Linked DNA regions of Xenopus tropicalis. The protein of the gene in region 6 interacts with the protein of the main gene of each other region in a pairwise test. Links are inferred from orthologs where the notes say so. Each region holds a gene or a part of one and is shown on either strand. Other genes may lie near its edges. The genes, in order: sh3gl1, tpd52, pbx3, ptpn9, ndrg4 and mal2.

Region 1 (4,148 bases), on a different chromosome or scaffold from region 6:
AATCCCAATTTAGATATAAATAATCCTTATTGGATGCAAAACAATCCTATTGGGTTTAATTAATGTTTTATTGATTTTCAAAAATTCAGTCGGATTTGGGACCGCATCGGCTCGTTGATGCGGTCCCCGAACTAACTGGGCCTATTCCAGTTGTTATAATTCGATTGTTTGGCCCCAGGGCCAAACGACCGAATTATCCTAAATTCCCCCGATATCGCCCATCCGTAGGTGGGGATATCGGGAGAAGATCTGCTCCCTTGGCGACCTTGCCAGGTGAGCGGATCTTTACGTGTATGGCCACCTTTAGTGTGTGGGTGCCTCATTGTTCTGTTCTCAGCTGTCTGTTGTTTCTCTGTGTTCATTCTCTTTTAAGGAAACCTTATCTCTTCATTAGTACTTAAATATCACTTATACACAAATGACATACAGATATATTAAGACATTTTTCAACAAACCGATGCGGTCCCCAATCCGATAAAAAATGAAACATGCTTGATCAAGATCTGGATGATTTCAGGCCAGATATTGGTTGGGCAGGCCCATCGTCATTGCCCCTACATGGACCGATAAGCTTCCGAATTGGTCTAAGGGACCGATCTCGGTAGCTAGAATCGGCCTGTGTTTGGCCACCTAGGTGGGGATATCGGGTGAAGATCTGCTCGCTTGGCCAGCTTAAAGGTCCCCATACACGGCCCATAGTAGAAAGATCTGGCCTGAAATCGGCCAGATCTTGATCGGGCAGGCTAAAAAATCTAGTTGGATCGGCTCGTTGATGCAGACCCCAGACCAACTTTACCTATGCCCGTCATTATAATTTGATCGTTTGGCCCCAAGGCAATTATCCTGCATTCTCCCGATATCACCCACCCGTAGGTGGGGGATATCGGGAGAAGATCCGCTCGCTTGGCGACATCGCCAAGCGAGTGGATCTGCCAGTGTATGGGGACCTTAACAGTAGACATACTATTGAATTCAAAACACAGCAAAATAACTTACTAAAAGTAATCATTCACTGTATTTTTTTATTCACAGTGACATTACTTTTTATTAAAATAGAAAAATACCACTTGTTATTTACATAAAATATAATACCCAACATATTTGTTTTAATTAAATAATAAGACGTGCAACATTAAAAATAACATATTTATCTTGATTAAATAATATATGCCCCTGGAATCAAATATAATGATTTATTGTTCGCAAACTGTGCTCATAGTTAAACGCAACACTTCAAGATTGTGCCTCTGCTATCCTCCCCCGTTTCCTGCCTTATACCGGAAGTAAGCGGTTGCCATGTAATATCCTGAGAGAGGAGCCTGGGGAGAGGCTCTACAGTTTTGTCCGCGATTCCTGTAGTCCTGCAATCTTAGTGTACCGCAACAATGTCTGTAGCCGGGCTTAAAAAGCAGTTTTATAAAGCAAGTCAGGTGAGCGCTACATGTATTTTGAAGGCAGATGATGTTAACTGCGAAGTCTTACTTTTGAAGTATTCAAACTGTGTCCCCGGAGACACCAGCTCTGTGCATTCTTTTTTGTTGGGTGAGGGCTTGGGGAGGCGGGATGTACATCTGTATCATGTAAAGTTCGCACTCTAGAGTCGCTTTCGCTTTACACGAATATCGGCATACGTTTGTCTAAATTTGCTTACACAACTTTCGGGACCTGTGAGAATGGAATGTGCATTGTGTGGGAAGAGGCGGAGAAGCTGCTCTAGTGCCGCTGTGTATGCACGTAAACATTGTGTAAAGAAGTCATAGAAGCAATTAAGTCAAAAGATAAGCATACTAACGTTTTAGAAACATATAATGTGGGGTGTTCTTGTTGAAAATTTGTAAATCTATTTGTTGTGTATTCCCTACTGTGCGCTCTACACTCGTGATTTCTGTTAAAGGAACAGTAACATCAAAAATTAAAGTGTTTTAAAGTAATTAAAATATAATGTGCTGTTGCTCTGCAAAAAACTGGTGTTTTTGCTACAGAAAAGCTACTATATAAATAAGCTGCTGTGTAGCCATGGGGGGCAGCCATTCAAGCTGGAAAAAAGGAGAAAAGGCACAGGTTACATAGCAGATAACTAGTAGATAAGCCCAATATAATGAGGGTTTATCTGTTATCTGCTAAGTAACCTGTGCCTTTTCTCCTTTGAATGGTTGCCCCCATGGCTACACAGCAGGTTACTTATATAAGCTATAGTAGTCTTTCTGAGGCAAACACACCAGTTGTAGAAATGCAATGTAACAGTACATTATATTGTCATTCATTTTATACACTTTCATTTTTTGGTGTTACTGTTCCTTTAATTTACAGACTTGGCCAAGAGCTGACTATAAAAAAAGCCAGTAGTGTCCATTTAGTCTTTTCTGGATGTGGGGACATTTTCTTTAATTAGGAGAAAATAGTATTAGAATTTCTTTTTTAATTTTGGTGATAGCATAGGATTGCTGTGCTGCTTTTCATGTTAAGCAACCCAGTGCCCATTAAGGCAGAGCCTACCTTGCAGCTAAAACTACATTTGTGTGTACACTCTTCAGTTTCTTGGACCAAATCTGGTTAATGCCTTTGTATGGCCCTGCCCTCAGGCCAAAGGTTGAATTCCAGTGGAGGCTTGTGCAATCCTGTCATTTTTTAATTATGATAAAAATGTAATTGTTAGCTTCAGAAGCTTTAATATAGTTAATTGGGGATGCCATTTAAGTTCCAATAGGGCTTGAAGGTCTATACACACACACACACACACGCACGTGTGTGTCACATAAACTGTGCCTTATACCATGGGTTTAATGCCTTTATGTAAAGGCAGGTCATATGCCATTTATTTATTTATACCTCTAAAGGATGAATGCATACATTACTTATATAACATGACTGCAATAAATAATTGCAGGTATTGCATAAATAAGTATAATCCTTAATGGAGAAGTCAATATAAACGACTGCATGAGAAATATATACTGTTCTGTCCCTAAGCAGCAGTGTGTCTCGATATCCAAATTTGAGCTAAACAGAAATCTTACATTGACATAGGGGCTGATTCATCAAAGTACGAGTTCAAATCCCGAAATGGGTAAAATTCTGATTAGATACAATAATTTCTGATGAACTGAAATATCACGAAAATGCTTACAAAAAAATCATATTAGTCTTGATAATATCGTATTGGCGATTCAAAAGTCACGAAATTTTCGTATCCGAACAATCATAAACGGCGGGAAAACCTTTCTGACTTTGATCCTTCAGTGCATGTTTTTGGAAGCCTCCCATAGGTCTCAATGGCACTCTGCAGCTCCAACCTGGGCAAAGGAAAGGCACAATACCGAAGCTTTAATGAATCTGAAACTTTCATACTCAGCGCAACAAATACGATTTTGTCGCACAAATTGTCGCACTTTCTGTCACAAAATACAAAAAAGCCATGCAAATTAACAAAAAAAGTCGCAAAAAATATGCACAGTATGAAAACTTAGAAAAAATACTTTAGGGGGTTTGGGGTGTGATTAGCCAAAGACTTTCAGGGAGAGTAAGTGAGCCAAATGGTGGCTAACTACTGCTATGAAAGGCTTCGCTTTGTTCCACTGGGTCACAGATATGTAAATAAAAAATGTATTATTCATTATAAGTTGCATTAATATGAATACTATGGGGCCTATTTATTAAAGTACGACAGGTACGAAATAAAAAAAAATTGTATTTGATTGTACTGTGCTTATTTTCTGCGACTTTGTCGTATAGTTGCGCAAATTTTTCGTACTTTGTGACAAAACTTACGCAACAAAATCGTATTGTCGGCCCGAGTACGAAAGTTTTGGATTCATTCAAGCTTCGGTATTGTGACTTTCTTTGGGCCAGGTTGGAGCTGCAGAGTGCCATTGAAGTCCAATGGGAGGCTTCCAAAAACAAGCACAGAAGGATCAAAGTCAGAAAGGGTTTTCCCGCAGTTTATGATCGTTCGGATACGAAAATTTTGTGACTTTTGGATCACCAATATGATATTATCGTGACTAATATTATTTTTTCGTAAGCATTTTCGTGATATTTGCGATCATCAGAAATTATCGTATTTTATCCTAATTTTTCCCAATTCGGGATTCAAACTCGTACTTTAATGAATAGACCCCTAAGTGTGGAAGCTTTAATCCCCATTAAAA
Region 2 (4,180 bases), about 14 Mb from region 6:
TAAACCTGCCAATCTGTTAGACTGTAAAAGGCAGTAAAATAACAAACCTTAGGCTATGATTTTTTTTTTTTTTTTTTTTTTTGCAACCTTTTTAAAGCTCAGGACTGTTGGAGACACAGGGACTAGATTTGACTCTACAAGGAATTTTTATGACCCTCCGCTAAGGGCTTAAGGGCTTATTAGCAAGTCAAATACTGGGCCCAGTGCAGAAAAGAGCACACAGTATGTGTTCCTAGCACCAGCATGTTTATTAAATTACACAAAATCATCACAGATATTTAATTCCTTTTTTATTTCCTCTTTACTTTTGTATAGTAGCGATGTCAAGAGGTATCGAATAATTACCTTTTACTTCCACTTGGCATCTCTGTTGCTGCTTTTTGTTGTTTCTACTTTACCTTAGCCTCCACTCTGCTCAGGCTGTCACACCCCTCCTAATGACTTTCCCAAAGCCCTCCTGTAAAATGATCTTCTCTAATGATGTTTGGGTTTGCTTTACTCCAATGGAATTGCAGACTCAATATTCCCTTCATGCTGATCATTTAAAGCCAAAAGACTCCCCCTGCTGAAACTTTCTGGGCATTACATGTGGTTGACTCCTCAGTGACCGGATGGTGGTGCAGGCATAGTTAGCTGGCTACACAAGGGTTGTTTTGCTGATATGATGCAGTGTAAAAGCGTTCAGAATCCGTATGGTATACCAGCCTGTAGTCCTGCCACTTAACTGAGGTATCGCTGCCTCCACCTGCTGCCAGACAGGTGACATCCCATTGATGTCTGTGCTTGGCCAAAGCCATATAAAGCACATTAGTGGCTTTCTGAGTCTCCATTGGGGTGCCTATGGCATTACACTGACACCTACTATGCCTTTTTGTTCTTAATGTTATAAAAGCCATTTTATATTATAAAACCTGCATTTATGGTTATACCTTGTTCAGCAGTGCCCCCAAGTGGCTTAGAAAAGCAGGTCATAAAACAGTGGCCGCAACCTAACCCTGCCATGTATTATCTGCAGTCCTGGAAGATTATTCCCAAGACTCTTAGGTCTGAAGGCCAGGATGCATTAAGTAATGGATTGATTGAAAAGCACTCTGCTGCGGGGCATCCGGTGCCTGTCCCTGCTATAAATGGCACAGAGGCACAAAGCTCGGCTACTTAGCCGCAATTGTCTCGCATAAAGGGGAGGCAGCCTGGTATCATAGTGTCCAGATATTTCTCCATTAAGCAGGACCCATGGCTGGGACAGATGGTGTGTGCCGTGTAGCACTGCCTGGTAATCTGTTTATGCCCTAGAAGATTAAGCTGCTGGTTGTGCATGTGATATCAGATGATGGGGTTTTGCAATTAAATAGAAATCCTTTGTGAACTGGACCAGCACACCAGCAGCTTCAGGTGCACAGGACGCTATATGTCTTTCCACGTCCGTTGGAGACAATAGCCTGTACTCAGGAGGTTAGTGAAGCAGAAAGCCATGGAAGGTGAGGCCACTCTTTGTCACTTGGAGAGAAGGAAGCCAGCCCTGCCTAGGTAGGCTCTCCCCCGCAGCAAAGTCACTCATTAAACAAATGGCTGCGGCACACATGTGAACTCCCGGGGATCCGCAGGGAAGCAGGACAATGTTGCGCTGCTGGGTCGGATAAACAGTTGTATGGGCCGAGTGGAACCAGGACTGTCACCTGTAAATCAAGAGGTCAGCTACGGGCCATGTTAGTCTTTCATGTACTTATATAAAATGAACCATTAAGCATGGATTCTGGAGACTTCGACCTGCAGGAGGATTACAAGTCACCTTTTAATTTTGACTCTGGAGTTAACACAAATTATCTGTATTTGTCTCCCCGGCCAAATGCCACTCCTCCAGATTCCCCTACGCTACTGAGAGCAGGTAAGGTGCATACGTGTGTGTGACAAGTAATCTCTGTGTGTGACTCAGCCCTATGGCTTTTGTGTCTTCAGGCACCTTTTAGATGTGGTGTTGTGAGCAGAGGCTATTATCCCCCCACTGCTACCATAGGCACCATCTCTCCCTACTATACCTGCTATCCCACAGCCCCAGTCCCTTCCCAGAGGCTATTATCCCCCCACTGCTACTATAGGCACCATCTCTCCCTACTATACCTGCTATCCCACAGCCACAGTCCCTTCCCAGAGGCTATTATCCCACTACTACTATAGGCACCATCTCTCCCTACTATACCTGCTATCCCACAGCCACAGGGCCCCCACTGCTACTATAGGCACCATTTCTCCCTACTATACCTGCTATCCCACAGCCACAGTCCCTTCCCAGAGGCTATTATCCCCCCACTGCTACTATAGGCACCATCTCTCCCTACTATACCTGCTATCCCACAGCCACAGTCCCTTCCCAGAGGCTATTATCCCGCTGCTACTATAGGCACCATTTCTCCCTACTATACCTGCTATCCCACAGCCACAGTCCCTTCCCAGAGGCTATTATCCCCCCACTGCTACTATAGGCACCATCTCTCCCTACTATACCTGCTATCCCACAGCCCCAGTCCCTTCCCAGAGGCTATTATCCCACTGCTACTATAGGCACCATCTCTCCCAACTATACCTGTTATGCCACAGCCACAGTCCCTTCCCAGAGGCTTTTATCCCACTGCTACTATAGGCACCATCTCTCCCTACTATACCTGCAATCCCACAGCCAACAGTCCCTTCTCAGAGGCTATTATCCCACTGCTACTATAGGCACCATCTCTCCCTACTATACCTGCTATCCCACAGCCACAGTCCCTTCCCAGAGGCTATTATCCCCCCCACTGCTACTATAGGCACCATCTCTCCCTACTATACCTGCTATCCCACAGCCACAGTCCCTTCCCAGAGGATATTATCCCCCCACTGCTACTATAGGCACCATCTCTCCCTACTATACCTGCTATCCCACAGCCACAGTCCCTTCCCAGAGGATATTATCCCCCCACTGCTACTATAGGCACCATCTCTCCCTACTATACCTTCTATCCCACAGCCACAGTCCCTTCCCAGAGGCTATTATCCCACTGCTACTATAGGCACCATCTCTCCCTACTATACCTGCTATCCCACAGCCACAGTCCCTTCCCAGAGGCTATTATCCCCCCACTGCTACTATAGGCACCATCTCTCCCTACTATACCTGCTATCCCACAGCCACAGTCCCTTCCCAGAGGATATTATCCCCCCACTGCTACTATAGGCACCATCTCTCCCTACTATACCTTCTATCCCACAGCCACAGTCCCTTCCCAGAGGCTATTATCCCACTGCTACTATAGGCACCATCTCTCCCTACTATACCTACTATCCCACAGCCACAGTCCCTTCCCAGAGGCTATTATCCCCCCACTGCTACTATAGGCACCATCTCTCCCTTCTATACCTGCTATCCCACAGCCCCAGTCCCTTCCCAGAGGCTATTATCCCACTGCTACTATAGGCACCATCTCTCCCTACTATACCTGCTATCCCACAGCCCCAGTCCCTTCCCAGAGGCTATTATCCCACTGCTACTATAGGCACCATCTCTCCCTACTATACCTGCTATCCCACAGCCACAGTCCCTTCCCAGAGGCTATTATCCCACTGCTACTATAGGCACCATCTCTCCCTACTATACCTGCTATCCCACAGCCACAGTCCCTTCCCAGAGGCTATTATCCCCCCACTTCTACTATAGGCACCATCTCACCCTACTATACCTGCTATCCCACAGCCACAGTTCCTTCCCAGAGGCTATTATCCCACTGCTACTATAGGCACCATCTCTCCCTACTATACCTGTTATCCCACAGCCACAGTCCCTTCCCAGAGGCTATTATCCCACTGCTACTATAGGCACCATCTCTCCCTACTATACCTGCTATCCCACAGCCCCAGTCCCTTCCCAGAGGCTATTATCCCACTGCTACTATAGGCACCATCTCTCCCTACTATACCTGCTATCCCACAGCCACAGTCCCTTCCCAGAGGCTATTATCCCCCCACTGCTACTATAGGCACCATCTCTCCCTACTATACCTGCTATCCCACAGCCACAGTCCCTTCCCAGAGGATATTATCCCCCCACTGCTACTATAGGCACCATCTCTCCCTACTATACCTTCTATCCCACAGCCACAGTCCCTTCCCAGAGGCTATTATCCCACTGCTACTATAGGCACCATCTCTC
Region 3 (3,500 bases), on a different chromosome or scaffold from region 6:
CGTTATGGAGAATGCTTGGGATCTGGGGTTTTCTAGATAAGGGTCTTTTCATATTTTGGATCTTCATACTTTCCGTCAGCTAAAAAAATCATTTAAACATTAAATTAAACCAGTTTTTTAAAATTAATAGGCCATTTTTTTTAGTTTATACATAAGATATTTATCTTGACAGTAGACTTACTGATCTACAAGTACTCAATGTAGAATGGTGCTAAATGTTTAAACTCTCCAGTTCTTCAGTAATCATTTGATCTATTAATTTATTTCCCCTCCGGCGAGCCCACCTGATGATCTGGGTTTTTCTTTTTTTGCAGGAGAAAAAGACGTAACTTCAGTAAGCAAGCCACAGAGATCCTAAACGAGTATTTCTACTCCCACCTTAGCAACCCTTACCCAAGCGAGGAAGCCAAAGAGGAGCTGGCAAAGAAATGCAGTATCACAGTGTCACAGGTGAGCCCACCCTGCCATATCTGTGCTCTTTGCATTCTTAGCCCTGGAGCAGATTACCTAACAGGGTTTTAATTCCCAAGTAACAAATACATTTCATGAATGCAATTATACTTTATTAATACAAACAATTATAACAAATTCTAATTAGTATATCTCTGTGCATCACACAATTAATTGTTTAAAACGATAGAACTGTCCTGCCCCTCAATCATGTGAATTTTAGCATTGCACCTCAGAGGGACTACTGCTGGGCAATGGCACACCTTGTGATTCCATGTTTTTTCAGCCGGGTAATTTATAGCTATGTGGGTAGGCAAAAAGGCACTTGCAATCGCTCTACGTTGATTTAAACAGCAACCCCATGCAATTGTGGGTGCACTCATCTTTCCAAGTGGCTATAACCCAACACCCAAGTGCATCCGCAATTCCAGGTGATTGCTTTTCAAATCAGTGGGGAGAGGTTGGGTCCATTTTCTCATCCATACAGCTATTTACCCCTCAATCACAGAGAATTTCTATGCTAGCTATAGCCCAAAATAAAATAACATTACCCTGTGTGTTTGCGAGCAAATGCACCATACTCCTAGTTAGTAGCTTTAACTAATCGTTGGGTCTGAAGTCATTCTTATTATCATTAACAAGTATTTATAAGCACTTGTACGATTTATAGTCCTGTACGATAGATGTTGTATACTCACACAGATTACATACAAAATACAACCAAAACAAGAGGTAAAGAGGCCCTGCTTAATAGGTCTTACAATCTAAAAGTTAGCAAGAACAGAATGCCTGCCCAACATTTGCAGACACAATGGAGAGAACTGATGCTAAATCACTTCTTATTTGCTTTGCATTGTGAGCTGGCAGGGAGAAACTGCTGTTGAATACCCTACCAAAAATGTAGTCTGGCAAGATTTTGTTGAACTAAATGATTAGGTTTAGTGTGTGTAATTCAATATTTTAAAGTAAAAAATATAAGTGTATATTTTTATAATATTTAGAAGTAAAAAGTGTTTTCTGAGAACTCCATAAACCCACTTTTAGGGCCTTTAGGGATGTTCAACAAATTGTATTCATCCATTGGACCCATTTGCTTTTGATTAAAGCATACAAATATGTTTCTTTATACAGAGAGCTTGTTTATGTATATATTGCAGAAATTAGATAATCAATAGAGACACATTACTTCTTTCTGTGCCAAGGTGAAATTAGATATCACCCATTAACCCCACAGATACGAGACTCTGTTAGGCCATTCTTGATTGTATGTGCACTTCTCATTGGGCCAGTAAATGCAATAAATTATATGGGCATAGGGTACTATACATGCAAAGCCATAACAATCTCTGTGTATGTATGATTTCCATTCAACGGATTCATTAATTGACTTCTAGCATCGCAAGAGAAAAAGGAAACGCTCGTCCTTATTGCACGCAGACACGCTTTATTTTGGTTCCCTGCAATTGCAAAATCTAACACTTAGAGACCTTATTTTCCTGTTTTTTTGCTGGTAGTTGTTATGCAGAAACTTCTAACTTGACAGTACACTGAGAAAGGAGAGACTTTTTCTTTTTAACATTTTATCATATGTGGCTTTAAAGCTATATATGGGTTTAAAAGATTTACATACAAATTCCCTCACTCACAATTACTCACTCACGCATATCAGGCACGTATATTTAAGCCATTAAGTCAACATTATATAGTATTATATTATATAGCTAACATATTTTGATCTATCTTCTTACCATGGCCACAAATAATTCAGCAACAGAATAGAAGGTAGCATTCTCCCGTGCCTTTACAGGTCCACAGAAAGCCATTATCACAGGCAAGCTGAACAGATACACATTACATCTACAGTGCCTTTACATATGCTCATTTTCAAGACAGTTAATGCCTGGATATTTGCCTGTATCTTTTAACCAGTCCGTGATATTAACTGGTCCTTTTCATGCAGGTTAAACATAACGTATGAGCGGCTCTCTTTTCACTGCTTCCAATTAAACCTCGCTCGTTAGTTTAACCTCAAGGTAATGCCATCAAACAATGCATGTCAGGGAAACACTGCCCACAGTGGCAGTCATTAATTTTAATTGCCTTGATATTAAAGATAAGGAAGAATAAGAGAAACTGGGACGGAATCCTATACCACGTCAAAAAAAAAAAAATCCTGCACCCTGAGGCCTCCCGAGGCTCAAACGATATTAAAATGTAACGGGGGGAGGATGGAAGGCAGCCTTTATTAGACATGGCTATTGTTGAGAGTACTGAATTGTCCTCCTCTGCACACGCCAGAGATTTCCTCACTTCTAAAGCTGTTAATAAAGCAGTAATCTGATTTTTTTTCCCTTAATAATTATCCGCCCGCCTTCATTAATGTGTTATTGCCCTGCTGGCTGGCAGGTTAATGGTAAGCAGAATATATAAAATACAGGCAAGTATTGGCCAGGGACAAAGCAAAGAATGAGGCATTGGCTCTGCAGGGTAACAGCAGAGAGTGGTTTGAAGACATTTGTGCTGTAAAACTGTTAACAATTCACTGACAAAATTACAGTTACGCAGCCAGCTCCAGATTCAAGCGCATCAGCACACAAACGCTTCAGCCTTCTGCATCTCTCAGCCAATAAACATTTACACTTTTCATTATTAAAATTTGAATATTTTTTGCTAAAATAAGTATACACTTCCTGCCTTGTACATTTGTTAAAAACAACTTTATCTTACTATGAAATATATTATTATTTTTGCTTTTACTCTTGGTCTTTGGCTTAAGCTGGCCCTGATTTGGTTGGGCAGTTTGACTGATTTCAGTCATACTGCCCAGCCATCTGGACATAAAACCAGGCCAGGGGGCTGTTTTCACCAATCATCCTGCAATCCTGCCATGTTGCAAGTTTTCATTGGCCGGTGCACCATGTTGGTAGGTACATAGGGCATAGGCAGATGAGGTGGCCCATCTTCACTTCCTCCAGTTTCAATCATTTGAGCTTTCTATCCAAGCAAATAGAACAATTCAAAGTGGCCATTCACATGTATGGCCACTCCTA
Region 4 (3,500 bases), on a different chromosome or scaffold from region 6:
ACACTGATACTGGGATCCCAGGGCATATGTTTAATTTGCTACAACCTCAACCCCAATAGGGGGGCTTGTTTAAAGGAAGACTAGGAATAAAATATGGTACCAAAATACTATACATAAAGCTGTTGCTTTTGTTTTGTATCTCAAACCTGTGCCCTTTTTTAGCCTACTTATTTGATTGATGTGCATTGTGTACTGCATATATGGCATAGCAGAAGAATCAAAGAGAACCTCTGAAAGATAGACTCTACAGCACTGGCAGGCTGGTGCTTATATGTCAGCACAATAAATATTACAATACCTGCCACATAATTGGTAAAAGGCAAACATTTGCCAAGCACATGACCTAACTGCAGTGATTCAGGGAGCACACAGAGGATAGAGTATTTTGAGAGAAAAAATACTTAGACAATGCTTGTTAAGAGGGCAGTTGAGGACGTCTGCTTTTTGCCACTGCAGTACATCCTATATTGCTTACCATTAATATGGCAGTCAGCACTTGGAAGATGCTATTTCATCTGCATAATAATAATAATACATACATATAAAAGAAGCTACTGTTTAATTTTCTTCCTATAGTGTAGATACACAGAGAAATGGCCTGTTTTTTATCTATGACATGGGTGGAAGTCAGTACAACAACTTTGAGTTGGAATTAAGCAAGAAAATCTTGAGCCTGCTGAGAGTAAGTATTTTATACACATCCTATTCTCTGCAAAGCACTGCACTTTCCAAACCAGATAGATCCCCACCTTGCGTTACACCTTCTTCCTTCCCTACATCTCAGGTTTTACTTCTTCCTACTGAGTGTCTACATAGCATGCCTCTTCAATTGTGTGCGAGAAATAGCTTTGCTTCTTTGGTAGGGTGCATTCCCTGCTCGTCTGAAGAAGGTCCTTATTGTGTCCCCTCCGGTCTGGTTCCGGGTCCCATATTCTGTCATTAGCCTACTACTCAAGGAAAAGCTGAGAGAGAGGGTAAGCATAAACATACGCAGCCAAAGGTATGTAGTAAATATGCGCAGTAAAGGTGGCAATACATGGTAAGATTTGCTTGTGTGGTGAGGTCGCCAAACAAGTAAATCTTTCTCCTGATATTCCCACCTTGGGTGGGCAATATCGTGCTAATGAAACCGTTTGGCCCTATGGCCAAAGGATCACATTGCAATGAAGGGGATAGGAAAAGTTGGAGCAAGGACTGCATCAATGAGCTGATGCAGTCCCAGATCCGACAAAAAATCAAGCCTATCCAATTGACATTTGGCCAATATTTAGCGAGATATAGGTCGGAGTGGCCTGTTAAAGGGCCCCATACACAGGCAGATAAGCTGTCAAGTCGGTCTTAAGAACCCTAATAGGCAGCTGAAATCTGCCCATGTATTGCTACCTTAACTTTGTAAGTGCAGACACTATTTTCTTGTCCTTCCAACCTCTTATTTCTAAATATTGTCTTTGTCACTGTATAAGAAAACACCATTCTTACTCTCTGCTTCTTTCTCTTTAATAGGCACAAATGTCTATGCTTCAAAAATGCCCAATTTTCTGTCATACTGTTCTCTTTTTGCACTACTATCTGTTGTCTTTCTGCTGTTTTCTTTAGCTCACGGCTGTATCTCTGTTCCCTCAGGTCCACATGGTCAATGCAAGTGAGCTTTTGGAGCACTTGCCTCCACAGTGCCTTCCAGAGTCTTTGGGGGGTCTCCTTCCTTGGGATCCTGGCTCCTGGAACTGTCTACTTCTTCCAGGTCGAGCTGGAAAGCCAGATCCCTTAGATGAGTTAGTAATGGTACTAGGAGGAGGCCCATCTGGAAGTGTACATAGGCCTGGAGCTAGGGGGATGACTTTAGCACAGCTGAAGGAGTATGTTGGCAGAGTTGGGAGGCGTGGAACATATGAGGAATACGAGGAGATGAGAAAGAAACAGCCAGAAGGAACATTCACTGTGTCATTGTAAGTGTGTCAAAAGAAACATTAGATGTGGGCATGTCTGTGAGAGAGGGAGCAGGGGATCTGAAAGAGTGAATATATGAATTCTCTTTTTTCTTTTAGGGCCCCAGTGAATCGCGATCGAAATCGTTATGGAGATGTCTTATGCTTGGACCAAACCCGTGTGAAACTGAAACGTCTGAATTGGCATGAGGTGAGAAATTTCTGTTTATATAAAAATTCACATTACCAAATGATAATAGTTGCTAACTATTCTAAGCACGTTTGCAATTTACATTTGTTATTTTATAATTTTTAGGTTATTAAGCTTTTTATAAACTGAAAATATAAATACTTTTGTAACAACAACTGCATTCAGTGACGCAGAAGTGACAAAAATGAAATATTTTGCCAAATAAGATAAACAGGAATGTCATTCATTTAATTGCAAACCTGATTCATTTTTCTTATTTAACTTTCTCTAGCGCTCTGATTACATAAATGCCAGCTTTATGGATGGGTATCTCCAGAAGAATATGTATATTGGAACCCAGGGTAAGCTAGAAGTGTAATTTACTAGGCTCAAAAACAAACAATTGCTATGTTTTCCCCCAGAACTTCAGCTAAATAGTGGGATAATGTGAAATAGCATGTACCACAACTTGTGAATTTAACATTACAGCTGCACATTTTGCATTGTTGAGCTCAATGCTAGTTGCAGTACTGTTTTATGAAGCCCGTGTTTGCAAATGATGCCACTTCCATTGGACCATGATTCCCTAAGTGTGACTGAGTTGCATGTGGAGGTGTAACACACAAAGTAAAACCCTGGAAGTACAACCCCAACAATGCAGGTGGTAATTCAAGAGCTTCCTCATGTCCATCTGCCCTGTACAATGTATGCAACTGCACACAATTTATAAACCCAGGCTGAACTGGTGCATACATTTGGTGGTCTTGCGTGGTCACCATTAAGTGACATCTGAAACAATTGCTTTTAAGTAATAGAATTGCACTGTAATGTGAGAAAAAGTTTTCCCTGGTCAAGGAACAAAGGAAGTTTAAAAAGCTTTCTGGTTGTTTGATGTCACCTTTTTATGTACATTTTAATTGTTATCAATATTATCACTTTTTTTTTTAATTCATCTTTCAGTAAACATTACAAAGTATAGTGCCACAAAACATAAAAAAATTAAAAGAAACAAAAAATAAGACCAACTACATATTGTCTTAAAATACCTCTACATCAGGGATCGCCAACATTTTTTACTTATGAGCCACACTCAAAGGGACTATGATTGACTATCTGGTAGCCCCATGTGGAATGTCAGTCGACATACGAGCCACTGGTAAAAAATATTCACATCTGTAAAGCATCATGGTTCAGGTCCAAGGCACTGTCACATACGACCTTATGCATAATGGCAATTTCTATCCAATTTCAGTAGGACTGATTGGAGTCAACAGTAATGGTAATTACAGGAGATGAAATATGGATAACATAGATATGTATACTAAATAGATGTACTGTAAATGTAAATAATAAATGCCTATAAAAGTAAAATAACAAACAGTTGG
Region 5 (3,500 bases), on a different chromosome or scaffold from region 6:
AACGAGTTTTTCTTTAAAGATACAGAACAAGTATTTATTTTTACATCTATGTTTGCATGTATTAATAAAACACATTTCAGAGGTTTTAAAGATAACTTACTGCCTGAATATATACTTTGTATACCTGAATATAGCAGTAAAGGCCCAGGAAGGATATCAGATACACAATCACCTCAGGAATAAGGCAAATTATACTTTTTGCTGAAAGCTAAACAGAAATTATTGATTTGATTTTAGGCATAGAAAGAATTCCCACCTAATATTTAATGCAGGCAGCAGCTTTGGGTCAGGCAGGATACTTTGTATATTATTTACCAAAGTCAGAAACTCAGGGTCAGCATATAAAACTGGCATACTATTTACCACTGGAAAGAAATACTAGAAATACAATGCATTATTACATTACATTATATATTGGTGTTCATTGCTTAAAACAGTTCAGTGCCAAGAAAGATAAACTGCATATTATTCAGCACAGACCATAGTGCAGGGCAGGAGAGACATTTGCTATACAATATAACACAAATACCAAAGCAGTCAGAAGTGCTGGTACTTATGGTTCAATTACTGCTTTAAATATTTAACCCTTATTTTGTGTCATAACTGCTGCATGTCTTATACTGGCCTCTACTTGAAATTGCTGATTTCCAAAAAAATCTTCTTAGGGACCTAACCCCTGATTGGTTTTGCCCTCCTTACTGCTATGTAATGTCAAGGAGCACAATGAGAACTCACTTCACTTGCTATTACTGTTACACCCCTACTGCCCAATTAATTGATGAGTCTCAGTTAAGTTGCACTCATTGTCTTTTTTTCCAGACAAGCTTTGTTTCAACACCTTCTTTAACTATGAGGATATGCAGGAGATAACTAAGCACTTTGTGGTATGCCATGTGGATGCCCCGGGGCAGCAGGTGGGGGCATCACAGTTCCCTCAGGGGTAAGTAAAGAAAATTACATAACCTGTTGTTTTATTGTATTAAGTACAGTCCTCTGGCAATAACTATCTGCCTTTCCTTAGGTACCAATATCCCACAATGGAACAACTGGCAGCCATGCTACCCAGTGTCATGCAGCACTTTGGGTAAGTCAGGTGAATGGGACAGAATCCAAATACTGTTAGATATCAGCTACTGACATGAGCATACCTAATTATATCTCTAAAATGGAGTGGGTCACTAGATGATGTTGTGTGACGTGTGTTCAACATACTTTTGGTGCAACCATGCCTCAGAGATTGAAACAGGTTGCTGTGGGAACCCTGGAGCTACTGCTTGGCTTGAAACTGCTAGCACACAGGTTGATGGGATTAATTGGATTTTTTACACAACTAACTGAAATTAATTTAATTTAGACTGTGCTTGTGGTCATAAATTAACCCTAAATTCCAATTAGTTTTTCTTGGTAACTTTACTAGTACAATTTATCACCCATGTTATAAAATAGCATGTGTGCAAGAAACAGGGTGGTTTGCACCCATTTGTTCATACTTTGCATTGTGCCCTGCACTTTTAAAATGACCGTAAAGCAGTCTGTAGTGTACAGTGCCTGATGGGGCTCTCTACTAACTTGAATTTTAATAAATATGTGTGCAACAGATCATCTTGTGCAAACTTTAGGTGGCTGGATTTGGTATTAAAGGATATTGTTGCGAGGCTATGTAACTTATAATTTGCCACTGGTATGCAATATGGCAGATTTTATTATGAACTGCCAAAATGAAGAGGCAGACTAATTTATTAAAGCGGTAGTGTACCCCCTTGTTCATTGTGAGTTCAATGAATAGAGCTTGTGCTGAATATACTGTGAATCAGAATCTGTGGTTTTTGTTATTTCTTGAGCTAAACAGGGCAAACAAGGAAACTGCATCTTCTTCATGTTTGGTCCTTGCGAGCTTACAAGTGCATAGATAGACAAAAACAATAGGTTTAAACTACTCCAGTGTTGTAACTAACATCAACCCACCAGATGGCAGTATTAATCAGCACAGAGATCAGTATAAAAGCCAATGTTTGGTTAGTTGCTTTAGGGCTCTGGCACACGGGGAGATTAGTGGCCTGCAACAAATCTCCCTTGTTGCGGGCGACTAATTTCCCCGAAATGCCATCCCACCGGCGAGAATCTAAATTGCGGAGGTTTCCTCTCGCCGGTGGGATGGCATTTCGGGGAGATTAGTCGCCCGCGACAAGGGAGATTTGTTGTGGGTGACTAATCTCCCCGTGTGTCAGAGCCCTTAGGTTACTACAGCAAATAAATAACCCAAGCTAAGCACTGAGCAAATAAGCACGGATTTAACATAGGCTTTATTTTGATACTTTTTAATGTAAGGTAAATAAACAGGTGCTCTTTTTAGAACATATATACTTACATCAGGTTTGAAAGGAGAATGTTGAACTGTAGCAAGTAGCTTACTATCCCTTTTATCCCTACATTCCTTTCTGTTCTGCTAAAATAAATTGTTACTTAATTACTTACTCTCTCTTTTGCAGATTTCAAAGTATAATTGGCATTGGTGTTGGAGCAGGAGCCTATGTCCTTGCAAAATTTGCTGTAAGTCTGTGTGTGCTTTAATATAGTTGGTGGGTTACTGTGCATCCTGCATGAGTAGAAAAAAGAAATTGGAATTCTAAGCAACGTTCCCATGTACATTTATTAAACATTTTTAAGTTTTTGCCATATGCAGTCCAGATGTCTCTGATTTTTTTTTTTTTTTTTGCTATAGGTGTTCATAGGCATTGCATAATAGGAACCTCTGAAAATATAGCAATTTATGTAAAAAATGTGCCCACAACAGGGTATTGGGTCTGGGGAATGACACTACTGAAATATTGAAATCAGTATCCCTCGGCATGTGATTGATATTCATCAAATGTACTTCAAATGTTACCTCCCATTAGTGTTACTGTATGAACAAATTGTAGATTTGAATTACATAAAATTGTTACATAAAGCCCAGAATTTCCTACCCACCCACCCCACATCCTCTTGCTACAAGTAAAACTGTAATCTTTGCTTAGTAAGACAAGATATTTTGCAGAAATGGTCCCTGGTTACACAAATGTTTGCTAAATCAAATTATAATAATTACAAAAATAATGAAATAAAAGAAATGTTAATTTATTAGTACCTTTTGCATATTATGGTTTATTTTTGATGGTTTTAATGTCTCCTTTTTATTGGCCAACAGCTGATTTTCCCAGAGTTAGTGGAAGGCATGGTTCTGGTTAACATTGATCCAAACGGAAAAGGGTGGATTGACTGGGCAGCCTCCAAGGTAAGCTAGCTAATTTGTTAGAAGGGACATTGTGCACATTATAGGAATATGGGGCAGACTGCAACAAGGAAACACTAGGAATATGGCATAGTGAGACCCACAAAGAACAGAATGTATAAGGCATGGCAACACAACTGACATTTAAATTAATAAGTGAAGTGACATCATTTGTTTAGAGACGTAAAGAAGAAAACGTGGACTTTTGGCCTTGGTCCCACTTTGGGGC
Region 6 (4,183 bases):
GCTCTTGTTGACTACCTTAGCTGCCCCTCACCTCTGAGGTGGGCTAGCACTAATTCTCCTAACTTCTACCTAGTCCCAACAAGGTACAGCCTCCAGCCTGGTCTGGCTCTGAAGTGTATCCTGCCTAATCTCCTGATCAGTCCCTGACTCCTCCACTTCCTTATATTGGCAATTAAAGGGAATTCTCTAAGGCCCATCCTTAAGGGTCTATCTATCACATGGGTGAATATAAATAGCAATGCCAGAAAGGCCAAGAGATAGGAAACCATTATGCTTCAGCTGGTGCAGAACTAGAACTCTCACCACTTCCCTCCGGCTCCACCTGCATTTTATACACAAATTCAGATTCAACTTTAGATATAAATCATAAAATTGAAATATGGTAATGATATTTGAAAATGAATGCACTTTGAATGCAGATTATGTTTTATTTAGGTATGAATCCCCTTTAGGAGGTAAGTAGCCCACTGTAAAGCAGATTTATCATGGGCCACAAATTTCCACATGTGCCATCACCCTTATAGGTTACACCAGGTATAAAGTGGTATAAAAGCAGTGGCGTAACTAGATGTTACTGGACCCCACAGAAAATTCAATTTGGGGCCCCTATAGTTGACCTATGCTATTAAGATATATTGAAATTGCTCTATAATTAGGGCCTTATTGCCCCCCCTACACTCCTGGCTCCCCCTGCAACATCAGGGTATGATTCTCTGTAGTTACGCCCCTGATAAATAGTGAATGATGTTGTTAGTCTGGTATAAAGTCATTTACACACCTTTATAAATACTTTGGGACTCATTTATAAACACTGGGCAAATTTCCACCTGGGCAGTAACTCGCAGCAACCAATCAGTGTTTAGCTTTTCTTTACCAGCTGTGAGTAGAACAATAAAAGCAAAAATCTAATTGGTTGCCGTGGGTAACTGCTCAGGTGCAAATGTGCCCAGTGTTTATAAATGACCCCCCAGTGATTTACTATTTTAATGAATCATTTTCACAATCATTTTTACAGAGTTAGATCACTTTACCCACCTTTATACAGAAAATATGACCCTTAGATTGCTACTATCTACAAAAAACAGTAATCACTCCTTTGCCTTTATTTCATTTTTTTTCTCCTTTTATGGGAGCAATTTTTCTTCTAGTAATTATGAACAATATTGTTCTTTCTCAGCCGAGTCTTTTATTAGCATCCATTGTCCCACCTTTTAGTGTCTGGCCCTTAGGCACACCTTCCCATCCTTACATGCCTTCACCTGACAGTCAGACAAAGCTTGTAGGGTTGGGCAGAGCTACACCTGCCTCCAGGTCACATGACAAGCTCAGGTATACACACAGCAACCTGTCTGTGCAGGGAGAGGGCTGCAGTCGTCTCTGTATGACACAGAGAGAGCAAGCATGGCGGAATCAGGAGTCCCTCCAGTGCCCAGCCCTGCGGCCATGTCCTACCCAACAGCCTCTATGAACCTGCCAACGGGCACAGAAGTGCTCAGGACATACTCTGGAGCCTTCATCTGTCTGGAAATTGTAAGTTGGACGGCTGTGCGATTCTCAGAGATTTGCTATAGACAGGAGTGGGGATTGAGTAACACTGAGGGTAGAAAAATGGCATAAAGGGACTTTGCCCTCAGCCATACTGAGTCCTGCATTCTGTAAACCTGCTCATTCACATTCATTTACCATCAGAAAGTCCAAAATTGGGCCAATATCCTAGGGCCCCCACACCCTTGCAGTATTACTGAGCAGATTGCTGCTATATCAGAATTTTTTTATATTTTAATAGTTACCCTTTATATTTCTTTTAATATAAGTGAGGTAGGGAGAAGAAGGCAAAAGTGGTGGTGGGAAGGGAGGGGATACAGCAGTAATCCAATCACAGCTTTGAAACAATTGAATTCACAATCACGAAATTCATACCGGGCAATGATAATAGATTATAATCAATTAAAATGAAGAGTTTAATCAGGGGAAGCATCTAATTGATATATTTTACCCATGTAGCTCTCTCTGGGGATGGGGAGACACCCCACCATAATCATTATTATTATAGGAGCGATCTCGCCAGTGTCTGTGATTTATTTATGGGCGAATCTTATCTATAAGGCCCAACAAGCATATTTGATATTGGAGGGAGGGCTAAAGTCTCCGTCATGTATCTATCAGTATCGGTGTGTAAGTGGACATGTCCATACCATATGCCAGAATGTCCCATCACATTCCCCCCACAATTTTACACGTGGGAAAGGGAATCTGATTCGATGGAGCTGCAGGCAAAGCCGCCTTGTACAAATGCTGTTTATACACTCATTATAATTGCATAATTATAGGTTTAAAGCAAGTAACAGCATGTTAGAATGCTATGCCAGGGGTAATTATGGCATTTATTTCTGAAATAAAAACTTTTATCCGTATTCTGCCTGAGCTTTTGTATCGCCAAGGACTGTAATGAGGAAACCTCTCATACACAGATAAAGCCCCATTACTGGGCCCCCGGCCCCTCCCTACAGAATCCCAAACCTGATAGTAGAGACAATGGAATCCTACACCGATAGAATGTTGATAGATCTGATGCAAGACCGGATAGCTTTCTTTGCATTTGATTCAGATATGAGCTGGATCTGTGTATGAAATATACAGGTTACATACGCACACTGACACAAGAAGGAGTTGCAGAGCCCCCTTTTTTTTGGGGTGCAGGATAGGTGGTGTCTCTTATTTTCTGGTTCTGGAATCCAGCAGATGTGCATTGGTACCTTCAGTGTATATAGTAGCTGCCTTGCAGAACTGGGGCCCTGAGTTTGATACTGAGCAGGGCACTATCTGCAAGGAGTCTGTATGTTCTTCCCGTGTCTGTGCCCAAGTACTCCTGGTTCTCACACCCTACAAAAACATACAGGCTAGCTCTTTATAAAACTGACACTTGGCCATGACAGGGAAATTGGATAGTAATCTCCCCTAGGGCAGCAACTGAATGCTGAGCAGTCTCTGTATAGCAGTGTGTAAATGACCCTGTATAACTTACACGGATTGTATAAACATACATACCTCTGTGGGACACACACTCCTGCCTTGTTATTAATATTAAGCCTTGTCTTTGTACATTAAATGTGCCCAATTATAGGGGCAAATAAAGAGGTTCAGAACAGTAATAATAATAATGGAATTACCAGCAGGTGGGCTATACAGTAGGTGCACTAAACTGCACTATATAGGGGGGTAATTGGTGGGAACTGAGCATAAAGTTGTAACATGTATAGATATACATACATACATGTATGTTATTCTCCTTGGTGCTGTAACCTGAGGACACATAATTTGCTTAAGGGCCTCTCTGTGTTATTATTATTTCTGCCTCTACACTCATGTATATCTAATCCTGCATAGGAGATTATCCATTAGCCTCTTCCTATTGCAGTTTCCTTTTCTGTTTTACATGGTACAGGGAAAGTTCTGAATTAGGGAAAGGCCATCTCCCATAGACTCCATTATAAGCAAATAATTCTAATTTAAAAAAATGATTTTCTTTTTCTCTCTAACAATAAAACAGTACCTTGTACTTGATCCCAACTAAGATATAATTACCCCTTATTGGGGGCAGAACAGTCCTATTGGGTTTATTTAATGGTTAAATGATTCCCTTTTCTCTGTAATAATAAAACAGTACCTGTACTTGATCCCAACTAAGATATAATTACCCCTTATTGGGGGCAGAACAGCCCTATTGGGTTTATTTAATGGTTAAATGATTCCCTTTTCTCTGTAATAATAAAACAGTACCTGTACTTGATCCCAACTAAGATATAATTACCCCTTATTGGGGGCAGAACAGCCCTATTGGGTTTATTTCATGGTTAAATGATTCCCTTTTCTCTGTAATAATAAAACAGTACCTGTACTTGATCCCAACTAAGATATAATTACCCCTTATTGGAGGCAAAACAATCCTATTGGGTTTATTCAATATTTACGACTTAAATTATGGAAATCCAAATTACGGAAAGACCCCTTATCCGGAAAACCCCAGGTCCCGAGCATTCTGTATAATAGGTCCCATACCTGTACAGATTTTAGTTGTTTCTACCTACATGCCCCCAACGTCCCTGTAGTAGTCACAACAACCTTACCCTCTATTATTACCCCCTGAAATGCCCTCCTTTTATCTGCTACCAGCTGTATTCTG

Evidence for each region.
Region 1: the proteins of mal2 (region 6) and sh3gl1 interact in binary tests that used the Homo sapiens proteins (3 or more experiments, as listed by UniProt). The two-hybrid records come from large-scale screens. The link is inferred for Xenopus tropicalis from reciprocal best matches to the Homo sapiens genes MAL2 and SH3GL1.
Region 2: the proteins of mal2 (region 6) and tpd52 interact in a two-hybrid assay, tested with the Homo sapiens proteins (2 studies listed by BioGRID and IntAct). The link is inferred for Xenopus tropicalis from reciprocal best matches to the Homo sapiens genes MAL2 and TPD52.
Region 3: the proteins of mal2 (region 6) and pbx3 interact in a two-hybrid assay, tested with the Homo sapiens proteins (2 studies listed by BioGRID). The two-hybrid records come from large-scale screens. The link is inferred for Xenopus tropicalis from reciprocal best matches to the Homo sapiens genes MAL2 and PBX3.
Region 4: the proteins of mal2 (region 6) and ptpn9 interact in binary tests that used the Homo sapiens proteins (3 or more experiments, as listed by UniProt). The two-hybrid records come from large-scale screens. The link is inferred for Xenopus tropicalis from reciprocal best matches to the Homo sapiens genes MAL2 and PTPN9.
Region 5: the proteins of mal2 (region 6) and ndrg4 interact in binary tests that used the Homo sapiens proteins (3 or more experiments, as listed by UniProt). The two-hybrid records come from large-scale screens. The link is inferred for Xenopus tropicalis from reciprocal best matches to the Homo sapiens genes MAL2 and NDRG4.

Annotation. Positions count from the first base shown.
Region 1 is NC_030677.2:93,852,112-93,856,259, forward strand, and holds the start of sh3gl1 (endophilin-A2), read left to right. Parts: upstream 1-1,348; 5' UTR 1,349-1,385; coding exon 1,386-1,430; intron 1,431-4,148. UniProt on the Homo sapiens protein: Implicated in endocytosis. May recruit other proteins to membranes with high curvature.
Region 2 is NC_030682.2:123,595,018-123,599,197, reverse strand, and holds the start of tpd52 (tumor protein D52), read left to right. Parts: upstream 1-1,380; 5' UTR 1,381-1,746; coding exon 1,747-1,885; intron 1,886-4,180.
Region 3 is NC_030684.2:27,526,041-27,529,540, reverse strand, and holds part of pbx3 (pre-B-cell leukemia transcription factor 3), read left to right. Parts: intron 1-314; coding exon 315-450; intron 451-3,500. UniProt on the Homo sapiens protein: Transcriptional activator that binds the sequence 5'-ATCAATCAA-3'.
Region 4 is NC_030679.2:93,344,980-93,348,479, forward strand, and holds part of ptpn9 (tyrosine-protein phosphatase non-receptor type 9), read left to right. Parts: intron 1-576; coding exon 577-682; intron 683-863; coding exon 864-974; intron 975-1,623; coding exon 1,624-1,946; intron 1,947-2,045; coding exon 2,046-2,136; intron 2,137-2,407; coding exon 2,408-2,477; intron 2,478-3,500. UniProt on the Homo sapiens protein: Protein-tyrosine phosphatase that could participate in the transfer of hydrophobic ligands or in functions of the Golgi apparatus.
Region 5 is NC_030680.2:75,873,075-75,876,574, forward strand, and holds part of ndrg4 (protein NDRG4), read left to right. Parts: intron 1-819; coding exon 820-940; intron 941-1,021; coding exon 1,022-1,084; intron 1,085-2,489; coding exon 2,490-2,550; intron 2,551-3,187; coding exon 3,188-3,274; intron 3,275-3,500. UniProt on the Homo sapiens protein: Contributes to the maintenance of intracerebral BDNF levels within the normal range, which is necessary for the preservation of spatial learning and the resistance to neuronal cell death caused by ischemic stress.
Region 6 is NC_030682.2:137,845,402-137,849,584, forward strand, and holds the start of mal2 (protein MAL2), read left to right. Parts: upstream 1-1,383; 5' UTR 1,384-1,401; coding exon 1,402-1,530; intron 1,531-4,183. UniProt on the Homo sapiens protein: Member of the machinery of polarized transport. Required for the indirect transcytotic route at the step of the egress of the transcytosing cargo from perinuclear endosomes in order for it to travel to the apical surface via a raft-dependent pathway.